Linked DNA regions of Canis lupus familiaris. The protein of the gene in region 2 purifies or fractionates together with the protein of the main gene of each other region. This does not show direct contact. Links are inferred from orthologs where the notes say so. Each region holds a gene or a part of one and is shown on either strand. Other genes may lie near its edges. The genes, in order: PHF14 and HMG20A.

Region 1 (5,554 bases), on a different chromosome or scaffold from region 2:
CTGGGAAGAGCCTGCTTCTCCCTCTGCCTGTGTCTCTGCCTCTCTCTATGTCTCTCATGAATAAATAAATAAAACTTTTAAAAAAATAATAAAATAAAACAGCCATTAAGAAGAAATCTCACTTAACAAGTCTTTTTAAAAGGGGGGGGACTTCCTAGAATGTCATATATAAGTAAAACAGAAGATATCCCCACAAACAATAGATCTGTTTTAATTTAATTAAAAATTTGTTTTTTAATTAAATATGCTATTACATTACATGAATCTTAGTCTATAGAAGTACAACCCTAAGAAGTAGCCAAGAACTTGTTAACAGCATGATTACTACCAAAAGCAAACCTCATTGATATAGATTCATAAAAAGTCCTGAGTTTTAAAATATTGTTCAGAAGTCTTTTTAGTTTTCTAATTCTGTTAAGTATTTGTAGCAAAATACCAGAAACATGCAAATATGTTGTAAATCATTTCTCCGCCCCCGCAAAAAAAAAAAAAGGATACTTAACAAGGCAGCAAATGTGGAGAAAAGTCATATTTTATTATTCTAGCATCCAGAATTCCTACCTAATCAATTAAGGGAGGCAGCAAGACAAGGAAAATGCCTCAGGTCCAGTTTCCATACCCTGATTTATTTCAATTTCCTCTGTAAATTTCCCCAGCTTAGCTCAGAGATATAGACGTGTAGATCACAGATGTGAACTATTTATTTAGTTAATACTGTGTTTTGTTTCATTTGAATTTGAATACCTTTAGATACTCTCTCCAAATCACTGTAGCCCATACTAAATTTCACTGTCTTGTATATGGCTCTATCACCCATTTTCCTTTCTTTCTTTTTTTTAAAGTTATTTATTTATTTATTTAAGAGAAAGAGAGAGAGAGAGAGAGCAAGCATGCACACCAGTAGGGGAAGGGGCAGAGGGAGAAGCAGACTCTCCGCTGAGCAAGGAGCCCAATGTGAGACTTGATCTGAGATCATGACCTGAGCTGACAGCAGATATTTAACCAATTGAGCCATTCACATGCCCCTCTTTTTACTTTTTTAAAGATTTATTTAATTTAGAGTGCATGTATGCATGTGCATAAGCATGCAGGGAAGGGGGCAGAGGAAGGAGAGAGAGACTTTAGCATGCCCTGGGCTGAGTGGAGCCAGTAGCCACTTGATCTCATGGTCCCAAGATTACAGCCTGAGCTGAAACCAAGAGTCAGACCCTTAACTGACTGTGCCACCCAAGCACTCCAACTTTCCTTATCTACTGTCTACTTCCAAAAAATTGTGAATGGGGCTATACAAATGAACCCAAGCTGCTATAGTATAAAAGGTAAAGCTCTCAGTAAGTTATAAAAGAAATGGCTGCAAAGGAGGCTTCCTGATGGCAAAGCTCAGTTTTCTACAAGTACAGTAATACACTTAACCTTCAGATTCTGACTTAGTTATTCTTGGGATTTATCTGGTCTTCTAAATCTTAGTTGTATTGCCCCTCTGCACTTCTGCCCACCATTCTGAGTTGTAGTCATAACTAATAATCCACACAGCCCTATTATATAATTAATTATACTTTAAGTCTGCCTAAGAGCTGTGAAAATGTTCAATGTTTACCCAGTACCCTTCATCATTAATCAAAGTACAATTCATCAGAATCAGAGACCAGTACAAAACCCCATACCAACATATAACTGCTGTAGAACTCATTTATTCAAAAACTATATCCCTCAAAATCTACACAACAAATTTTCATCAGATTATCTTTTTCACTTGATTCCTGTCTATGAATTAAATGAGCTAGGACAAAGACCCAATATAATAAATATTTTTATAAGACACTGAAAATTTAGCCAGTAAAAGAAGGAATGCAAGAGACTTAGATATACCACAGATCCACCATGAATAGACAGTAAGAATTATCAAGCAAAACATCCAAATACCTGTCTACATAAAGAACTTAAAGAATCAACAAAACTTAGTCTCAGGACTCCTTGAAGTCTTAAAAATTATTGGAGATTTGAAAAGCTTATGTGAGTTATATTTCTAGACAGTCCCCTTTTGGAAATTAAAATAATAAAATTTTAATATATTTATTCATTTAAAAATAATTTCATTATGTTAAGATAAATAACATTTTTATTTATTAAAAATACTATAATTTACACACACAAACTCAGTGAGAAGAATGGTACTGTTTTATATCTTTGCACATCTCTTTAATGTTTAGATAGCTCACATAAAAGAGAGCTAAATTCTCAAAACTATTTCCATTCAGTATGTTATATTGCTATGTTACATAATCTCTGAAAATATCCACTATTGCTCATGAGAGAATTAAGAGTAAAAAAAAAAAAATGTATATACCATTTTCATATTGTTACAAAGATAGTTTTAACCTCATAGATCCCTTGAAAGAACATTAAGGAGCTCCCAAAACACACTTGGAAAACAACTTACTGCTTAACCTAAAAAGCCAATAAACCTGGAAGGAAAATTATAAAATTAAAAAAAAATTGTAAAGAGGCACCTGGGTGCCTGGCTCAATTGGTTAAGTATCTGCACTCAGCTGAGGTCATAATCTCAGGGTCCTGGGATTGAGCCCCAGGTCAGGTGAGCCTGCCTCCCTCTCTACCCCCTGCCCATACTCTCTCCTCTCACTCTGTCTCTCTAATAAATAAATAAATAAATAAAATCTTTAAAAACAAATTGTAAAGAGACAGAAATACAGATACTGAAGACAGAGTAATGATTTTATTTATAGAAATAGAGTGAGGTTATCCAAGATGCTGACATTTTAATGTTTTAAAACAACCTGGATTATGTTTCATTTTATCTGTCAGATCTCCCAATAAAATTTTAACATATTTTCCAAACGTTTAGCTTTAAAAATGAAAAAACTCATATTTTTTTTACTTTTGAAATTTTAGTCCAGTGATCTAGGCAAAGACTTAAAATAAGCTTAATTTCTTTTATGATGCACACCTGTTGTGTAGGACATAACAGAGTCATGAAATGCCTTATGAACATATTCACCAATGATGGGTTTAAATAAACCTACCTCTTCTGCTGCTGCCTCTGAAAGCAAACCTTCCTTCTGGGCACAGGTCACATGGAAATAGGCTCTGCACATCCCTGCATCACAGCTAATGCAAACTCCAGTTCTAGCAAAACGAGGGTCTTCACAGAAGCTACACTCCTATAATGGAATATAGGAAAACTCTCAGAATAAAAATATCTCCAGAACAAGACTTCATTCTCATACAATGCATCCATAAAATACAAATAGTGAATCAACAGCATATTAATAGAAACATTAATAATTATAGGCAAGAAGTTTATATGAAAAATTCTATGGTTCTAATGAACCAAAATTCCATTGATACAATAATGACAGTAATAATAATTTGAAGGTTTACTATGTGCTAGGCACTATTCTAAACATTTTACATATACTAATATATGCCACCATTTGCTACACTATTCCACAATAATAAGCAGAAGAGGTATTATATCCATTTTATACACAGGAAAACTGAGGTGAAGACAGTTTAAGAAATCTGCTCAAAATAACATAAAAAATAACTGCCACATCAGTATTCAAACCAGGGTAATCTCACTTTAAAGTCCATGCTCTTAACACTAGGCTACACTGATCTGAATAGAATACTGCTTGGATAATGAAAGAAAATAAGTCAGAGAAAATTTACCAGTAAATCAGAGAAAATTCACCAATTTCTTTCACCAAGAAATTGCAGCCAAAGAAATCATGCATTTTTAAAGTATCTTTCAAGTGAATTAAAAGTAATCTTAAGTAAACAATTTGCTCTGGGACATGTTACAGTCAACTATTTATATCCTTTCTGAACACAAAGAAAAAAACTATATAACTAGAAATTTAAACTACTGAAATTACTTCCAATCCCCCCAAATTTATTTATCCTTTTCACTATCCAAACCACAGAAAGAAAAAAAAATTTAGTTTTAAAATATAAACAACTCTAAGAAGAGTAATCTTCATAAAAGAAAAACCTGCTAAAAGAAAAAGAAAAAAAGAAAAACCTGCTAAATTGTGATAGATTGTCAACAGACAATTAAAGAACTGTTTAAAGTAAATATATTCTAAGTAAATTATAAAAAAGGAAAACACAAAAAGAAAATTAAAAAGTTTCAATAGACACTAAAAATGTCACTCTCACACTGTAACAGTCAGTGACTACCTGCTAGGTAGACAGCAACAAACTGACCTATCAGCAAAGAATGAAAACAGCAAGAACTCAATACAGATGTGAAAAGACACCCAAATCCTGATACTCTACTGCTTGGTTAAGGTTTGTTTGGTTTTTTTTTTCCCCAATAACAGTAGAGGGTGTATGATATAAAATATGAGCAAATAGTAATCTAAACATGAAAACAAAAAAAAGAGTGAAAGAATGAAACAGAAGGAGAGAGGAAAGGAAAGAGAGAAATGGAGAAATTATATTATTTCAAGAATGACAATAGTGCAAACAGAACCAAATTGTTCAGGATAGTTCCCAAACTAATTCAGTGTAATATGATATAGCTGAACAAGGGATTTCAGAATGAATACAAGGAAAAATTTCCTGACAATAAAGTCTTATAAGGACTATAGAACAATCTAACAAAAAAAAAGAGAATCTTCTCAATTGCTTGAAACACTTAAAATGCTAGGAAACTAAGTAACTGAGAATACAGGGGAGAAAGTAACCAGGATTAGGAAATGGATACATAGGTCTAGAAGAGCTGTCCCAGTCATAATTCACATCACTGTTTAATTTTGCAGATGAGCCAGAGAATACACAATTTTTTTTACTCCACTTCCTAATCATACTTCAAAACAAAAGCAAGTTATAATGAAAAATCAGCTGACAATTATGTATTTAATGATTCTCTTTTTCAGTTCAGAGGTCACTGCTGGTTTCAGTTATATGAAGTAGTATCTGGTTCCATTGCTTGTAGATTTATGATAAAAACGTGTGCCTACTGAAAATTACTTAAGCTAGTCCCTTCTAGGCTCTGTGTTGGTAAATTATGAAGCAGTTATCAAAAAGTAGTCCCTTTCACTTCCAACAATGGTGGACTAGGTAATTTTTATTAATCCTGCCAGAAACTAGAAATATGGACATATTAATTTTTTTTAAACTATAGATTAAAGGCATCAGAGAGATAATCTGATAATAAGAAAATTCAACAGGAATTACCCAAACTAAAGCACAAGAGTTTTGGAGTGACGCTGGAGGGAGAGCAATGGAGGTGGTAGTTAGAACCTAAGGAGGATATTCTGGATGTAACAGCAGAAACTGTCAAACTCTTGAATTTTCAATATCAGGATTTTTCAAGAATCTTTAAGTTCCCCACCGCACCTAAGGTGTTACTAACGCTATTCAAGAGTCTTCCTTCCCTATTTCCCAAAAGATAGCAACGGAAGAGAACGTATCAGTGTCTACGTCATTCTAACATGACAGGGATGTCTGTAGTAACTATATAATAAGTTTAAATTAATAACTGTATTTTTATCACTTATAATCCCAAAGCTCAAGCAATAAAAACCAA
Region 2 (6,255 bases):
AGGAGTAGGAATTACAGAGAGAACAGCAAGGAGCAAGTAAAGCTCATGACACACACCTGCCTGTCACAGTGGAGACAGGGATCTGCAGCAGTGAGATGGAACCTTGAACTCACTCTTGGCAAGCCAGGGGCCACAGTCTGGTTCCTAAATTACTTAAACAACCCAACCAACAAAAAGAGTGTGATTTGGCAGGTTTAAACACAAACAGCTAGAGCCCAGCACCTGTTCCACTTAAACAGCACATCATTACAGTTAAAAACAACAACAAATCTCTCTCATGAAGCAAATGCTAATCTCATGATGCTTCACCATGGAGCAATTTAGAAGAGTTATTATATGAAATGTGCCAAAGCATGAATTTATGGCTGATGCTTATTTGGCAAATAAGGTTGGCACTGCTAGATGTTGAAAAACATGTATGCAAATAAGCAAATAAAAGTTTTTAAGCTCTCCGACTTAAATATTTACATTACCATAAATGTACAAAGATAAATGTTTATATGAGTACACATATAATGCATTCCAGGAACACATTTTTTAATGTGATTGTCAGAAACAGCTATAAAGTGGCATTACTTCTTTATGGGCCTCAGGGTAGACTCTTAAAAATGGATTCTGACAGAATGTTAATGGGGCCCAAACATCAGCAAGGAAGTTTTTCTCTGCACTATCACTGGGTAAAGTGAATACTCATCATAACAGCTCGAAGCAATCTTCTCTTGTCCTTTCGCCCAAATATTTTCTTCCCCTACTGGGACCCAGCCAAACAGAAATACCAGCTCCTAAATGGCAGAGAGGGGATGGAAAGGACCACACATCACCAGCCTCAAGGAAAAGGGCTTGAGGCTTTTCCCCCCCATGTAATATAATCAAGCTACAGTCTCCAAAATAAAGACATGATAAAATATTTCCCCTTCTGACAGCTACGGAAAGAGGTTTGTTTTTCGCATACTTGGTGAATTGGTCATGGCCCAGCTCCCCGGCAATGGCAGGCACCCTGCTCCCGCTCGCCGGAGTCCCCGGGCGGGGGCCTGGGCCGGGGGCGGCCCCACCTGCCGGGAGCGCCCGCCGCGGGCGCCGAGGGGGGCTGGGGGGGGGGCGGGGCGCCGCGCGAGTGTCCGCGGACGCCGGGGGCCGGAGCCGGAGCCGGGGGGCGCGTCGGGGTCCCCGCGGGGGAGGGGGAGGGCGGGCGCGGCCCGCAGCAGGCGCCCAGGTCGGCGGCCCGGGTGGAAGTCCCCGATCCGCGAGCGGGCCGGGCGTGCCGGGCTCCAGGGGCGAGGCCGCCACCACGAGGCCGGCTCCGCGCCTCCACGCGCGTCCGGGGCAGCGCTGGGGCCGACACCGAAGTCGTGCCCTCGGCCGGCCGGGGCGGGGGGGGGGGGGGGGGGGGGGGGGAGGGGAGGGGAGGGGAGGGAGGGGGGAGGGGGCTGCCCGCCCTCCCGCCCGCGGGTCGCAAAGTAGCCCCGACCCAGGAGCCCGCGGGCGACCGAGGGACGAGACCAGCCGCCGCGGCCCGCAGGAGAGCGGGCGGGCGGGGGAGCCTCCGGGGCCGAGCGGGGCCGCCGACACGCAGCAGCGCCCGCGTCCAGCCCCCGCAGCTGCACTTTCCCCAGCGGCAGCCCCGCCGCGCCCGGGGGCGCCCCTGCGCCAGCTCCAACTTTCCCTCCTCTGGGGGGCGCCGGGCGACCGGGGCGGCCGTCCTCGCCGGGGGGCGGGGGGAGCTCCGGGGCGGGGCTCCGGGCGGCGGAGGGGGGGGGCGGCGGGGCTCGGGACGGCGGGGAGGGGGGCGGGGGGCCGGCGGGGAGGGTGCAGGGGGTGCAGGGGGGCGGCGGGGAGGGGTGCAGGGGGGCGGCGGGGAGGGTGCAGGGGGGCGGCGGGAAGGTGCAGGGGAGAGGCGAGGAGGGTGCAGGGGGCGGCGGGGAGGGCTGCAGGGGGGGACGGGGCTCGGGACGGCGGCGGGGGGTGCAGAGGGGGACGGGGGAAGGACGGCGGGGAGGGCAGCGGGGGGGGGGGCGTTGCAGGGGAGCGGCGGGGCCCCGGGGAGGAGTGCAGGGGGGTCGGGGGGGCTGCAGGGGGCGGCGGGGCTCGGGGCGGCCGCACAGCCCGCACCGGGCAGGACGCACCGGCCGCCTGCGCCCCCGTGGCGCCGCCCCACGACCCCGCGCGCCCCGCCCGGGCTCCGCCGGGGCAGCGCTCGCCCCCCGGGCCGGCCGGCGCCGGGGAGGGGACCGAGGGGACGCGGGCAGCCCTGGCCCCGTTACCTGGAAGGCGCGCGTGCCGCTGGGGCGACCACCATCGCCGGCCGGCCCGTCCCCCGCCCGGTGACCGCGGCCGCCGCCGCCGAGCAACTGACACTAACAAGTAACTAACTACTGGCCGCCGCCGAGCCTGCCGAGCCTGCCGCGCGCTCCCGCCGCCCGCCGCCCGCCGCCCGCCCGGCCCACCAGCCCGCGCGCCCGCCTCCTCCCGGCCCGCGCGCCGCCCCTCCGCGCGCACCCGCCGCGGCTCCCCGCGGAGCGAGCACGCGCACGCGCACGAGCCCCCGCTCGGCCGTCTCCCCGGGCTCGCCCCGGGCCCGGGGGAGGGGCCACCGCGGGGCCCCGCCCACCTCCGGACCATCAGCCTATGAGGGCTCCAGACTGACCGGCGGGGGCGTGGCCGAGGGAAGAGGGCGGGACGACCGGGCCCTTGGGCTAAAGCCAAGGGAAATTCGGGTTCCGCTCCGTCCCAGACGGAAAGGGCGGCAGGTCGTTCGCCCTTTCGGTGCCGAAGCCCCCTGGCCAGCCTGCCGTCGAGTGCAAAACACGTGTTTCCAAGGGCCCCCAGCATCCCGTAATTACCGAGTCCTTTCTGCAGGCCTTAGCGACGTCAAAAACTACATCTCCCAGGAAGCTCCGCGAAAGCCGGCCTCACCTTGCGTCATCACGTAGTCCCTCGCCGCATTGGAACAAAATAATCCCTTCGTTTTTCTCAAGGTACGGGGGGTAATAGTCCCTTTTCCTCCTCGCCGGAGCAATTCTAAACGCCATCGCGACAAGGAAGGCTGCGTCGGGGGAGGTGGCTCAGCGGCCGGGCGAAGGGAAAGGAAAGATAGCGAAAGAAAGTGCTGCGGAGGAATTTCCCCCGCCGCGAGACGCCGCAGCGAGCGGAGTGCAGGCGACCGAGAGGGGCTCAGGGGACTGTCCTCCGTGCGGGGGCCTCTGCGGGCCCCGTCCCCGCCTGCCCCTGCCGCCAGCAGGCCGGTAAGCAGGGCGGGCTGCGGGGTGGCCACGGCCGAGCGGCCCCGCGCCCCCCCAACGCCGTCTCCTTTGGCCGTTGTGGCCGGTTCGGCTCGGCTTGAGGCCGCCCGAACGGGGGCGCCCCACTTCCGGTGGGGGAGGGGCGGCCGGAGCCGCTTCCGGTGGGGGCGGGGGCGTGGTGCGCGCGGCGCGGCGGGCGCGGCGTCCTGAGGTTGGGGGCGTGTGCGCCGCGGGAGGGTCGGCGGTGGCTCGTGGCTCGTGGCTCGTGGCTCGTCGCCCGCCGCCCGCCGCCCGCCGCCTCCCGCCCGGATCCGGGAGCTCTGTCTCCCCGCGTTAGGAGGGAACAGCTCCTCCCCCAGGTGTTCGCAGGGCGCTGTTAGACCCCCTCGGCTCCGGCACGTCCGCGCGCCCTCCGTGCCCCCGGCCCGAGCCAGGTGTCCCAGCCGGAGGCAGGTGTCCCGGCCCGAGCCCGAAGCAGGTGTCTCGGCCAGAGCCAGGTGTCCCAGCCCGAGCCTGAAGCAGGTGCCCCAGCCTGAGCCAGGTGTCCTGGCCCCAGCCCGAAGCAGGTGTCCCGGCCCAAGCCCGAGGCAAGTGTCCCAGCCGGAGCCAGGTGCCTCGGCTGGGGCCAGGTGTCCCAGCCCGAGCCTGAAGCAGGTGTCCCGGCCTGAGCCAGGTGTCCTGGCCCAAGCAGGTGTCCCAGCCGGAGGCAGGTGTCCTGGCCCGAGCCCGAAGCAGGTGTCCCGGCCCAAGCTAGGTGTCCCAGCCCGAGGCAAGTGTCCTGGCCCCAGCCCGAAGCAGGTGTCCCGGCCCAAGCCCGAGGCAAGTGTCCCAGCCTGAGCCAGCTGGAGCCAGGTCCCTCGGCTGGGGCCAGGTGTCCCAGCCCGAGCCTGAAGCAGGTGTCCCAGCCTGAGCCAGGTGTCCTGGCCCAAACAGGTGTCCCGGCCTGAGCCAGGTGTCCTGGCCCAAGCAGGTGTCCCGGCCTGAGCCAGGTGTCCTGGCCCAAGCAGGAGTCCCAGCCAGAGGCAGGTGTCCTGGCCCGAGCCCGAAGCAGGTGTCCCAGCCCGAAGCAGGTGTCCCGGCCCAAGCCCAAGGCAAGTGTCCCAGCCTGAGCCAGCTGGAGCCAGGTGCCTCGGCTGGGGCCAGGTGTCCCAGCCCGAGCCTGAAGCAGATGTCCCAGCCTGAGCCAGGTGTCCTGGCCCAAACAGGTGTCCCAGCCAGAGGCAGGTGTCCCGGCCCAAGCCAGGTGTCCCGGCCCAAGCCAGGTGTCCCAGCCCAAGGCAGGTGTCCTGGCCCCAGCCGGAAGCAGGTGTCCCGGCCCGAGGCAAGTGTCCCAGCCTCTTCGACCGCCGGCCCCACGCCTGCCCCCAGGACTCTCGCGTTGGCTCAGAGCGGGGAGGCATCTTCACCTGGCAGGGGTGAAGCCTTTGGTGTCCCCTTAACCCATACCGAGTGCTCTTCGGCTCCTACACCTGTTGATTTTAGGCGGCAGCTTTCGCCTTGTAGCTGAAAACCACTTACTTCCTCAGGCCTGAAAATTCTTACCTGTCCCTGTCACGGAGCTCCTGGGACAGCTGTAGGTCGATACATTCCCCCGCCCCCTCCACCTTTGTAATTTAAGTAATTTCAGCCCCGATGAAAACCTGGTATCTGCCCTTTCTGTTTGCAAACCATGCTGCGGAGATCATGGTACTCAGGTTTTAAGCAAGCAGGGCATTTGGCTCACGGAGGACAGAAGATGGGTAAGACAGGACTTTTTTTTTTTTTTTTCCTGTGTTGTCAGTGTTTTATTATAAGAAGCAATGTGTAAAGTGGTAATAAACACTCAATTTTTCTTGTCTTCTCCTTTCAAGTATCACAGGTGTGTGTGTTTGTACTAATGGAATCCATCCGTTTGGAGCCTATGAAATCTCAACTGTAGTGATTTTATTTTAATTTTTTTTGTAGTGATTTTAGAATATCAAGTAAACTGTAAGGTCTTTAAAGGATTTTTAAAAGCATAAGGCCCATGTTTCGTTTTGTTTTTTCCTTTGGGATTTGTTACCTATTCTATCCTCTGAATTTGCAATTGTCTTAATTCTAGTTCTTTGAAAAAGCCATTATTATTTATTAGAAAAATGTGGGGTTCTTTGTTTGTTTTAATTCATGAGAGGCAGAGAGACAGAAGCAGAAGCAGAGGGATCCCTGGGTGGCGCATCGGTTTGGCGCCTGCCTTTGGCCCAGGGCGGGATCCGGGAGACCCGGGATCGAATCCCACGTCGGGCTCCCGGTGCATGGAGCCTGCTTCTCCCTCTGCCTGTGTCTCTGCCTCTCTCTCTCTCTCTCTCTTTGTGACTATCATAAATAAATAAATAATTAAAAAAAAAAAAAAAGAAGCAGAAGCAGAGACACAGACAGAGGGACAAGCAGGCTCCTTGCAAGGAACCCAGTGTGGGACTCAATCCCGGATCTCCAGGATCACGCATGCCCTGGGCCGAAGGCAGACGCTAAACCGCTGAGCCACCCAGGGATCCCTGAAAAAATGTGTTTTAAACTAAATATTACAGTAAGGGAAAAAATACATGTTTTAACCTTATGTAAACATTGGGGGAAAAAAATCTAAGACCCTAAAATCAGTGAGTTATCCTTTGAAAGACTACAGAATTTCTGCAGTAATTGAAAAGGCAAGACACGATAATGTCTATGTTATTATTAATTGAAGGTTAGGGACATGTAGACTGCCTCAAGCAAGTATTAATTAATTGATTGGACAGAAAGTGTTCACTGTCTTCCATATTATTAAAGTATAAAAGAAAATGTGATACGATCACCCTGACAAATTAAACTATAGTATTAGGAATTACTGCAGTAAGCAAAGATCGTGGAACTTTTAAATGAAAAAGATAGAGAAAATGTAGTTTAAATATTGATTGAGATACAGTAGTATTGCTTTTAGGAAACTAGAGAGCAAAGGAGTTTTTTTTAATTGGGTCTTTATGCTATTCCATGGAAGAATTGCAGTGTAACAGAAGAAAATTTG

The links.
Region 1: the proteins of HMG20A (region 2) and PHF14 purify together in Homo sapiens (affinity purification with mass spectrometry; 3 studies listed by BioGRID and IntAct, counting the BioPlex papers as one, with this or other methods). This does not show direct contact. The link is inferred for Canis lupus familiaris from reciprocal best matches to the Homo sapiens genes HMG20A and PHF14.

The regions. Positions count from the first base shown.
Region 1 is NC_049235.1:25,909,898-25,915,451, reverse strand, and holds part of PHF14 (PHD finger protein 14), read right to left. Parts: intron 3,180-5,554; coding exon 3,042-3,179; intron 1-3,041. UniProt on the Homo sapiens protein: Histone-binding protein. Binds preferentially to unmodified histone H3 but can also bind to a lesser extent to histone H3 trimethylated at 'Lys-9' (H3K9me3) as well as to histone H3 monomethylated at 'Lys-27' (H3K27ac) and trimethylated at 'Lys-27' (H3K27me3).
Region 2 is NC_049251.1:39,351,811-39,358,065, reverse strand, and holds the start of HMG20A (high mobility group protein 20A), read left to right. Parts: upstream 1-2,701; 5' UTR 2,702-2,913; coding exon of another isoform or gene 2,914-3,752; intron 3,753-4,781; coding exon of another isoform or gene 4,782-4,843; intron 4,844-6,255. Other genes in the region: synaptojanin-1-like, read right to left, coding at 694-782, 2,914-3,752, 4,782-4,843. UniProt on the Homo sapiens protein: Plays a role in neuronal differentiation as chromatin-associated protein. Acts as inhibitor of HMG20B. Overcomes the repressive effects of the neuronal silencer REST and induces the activation of neuronal-specific genes.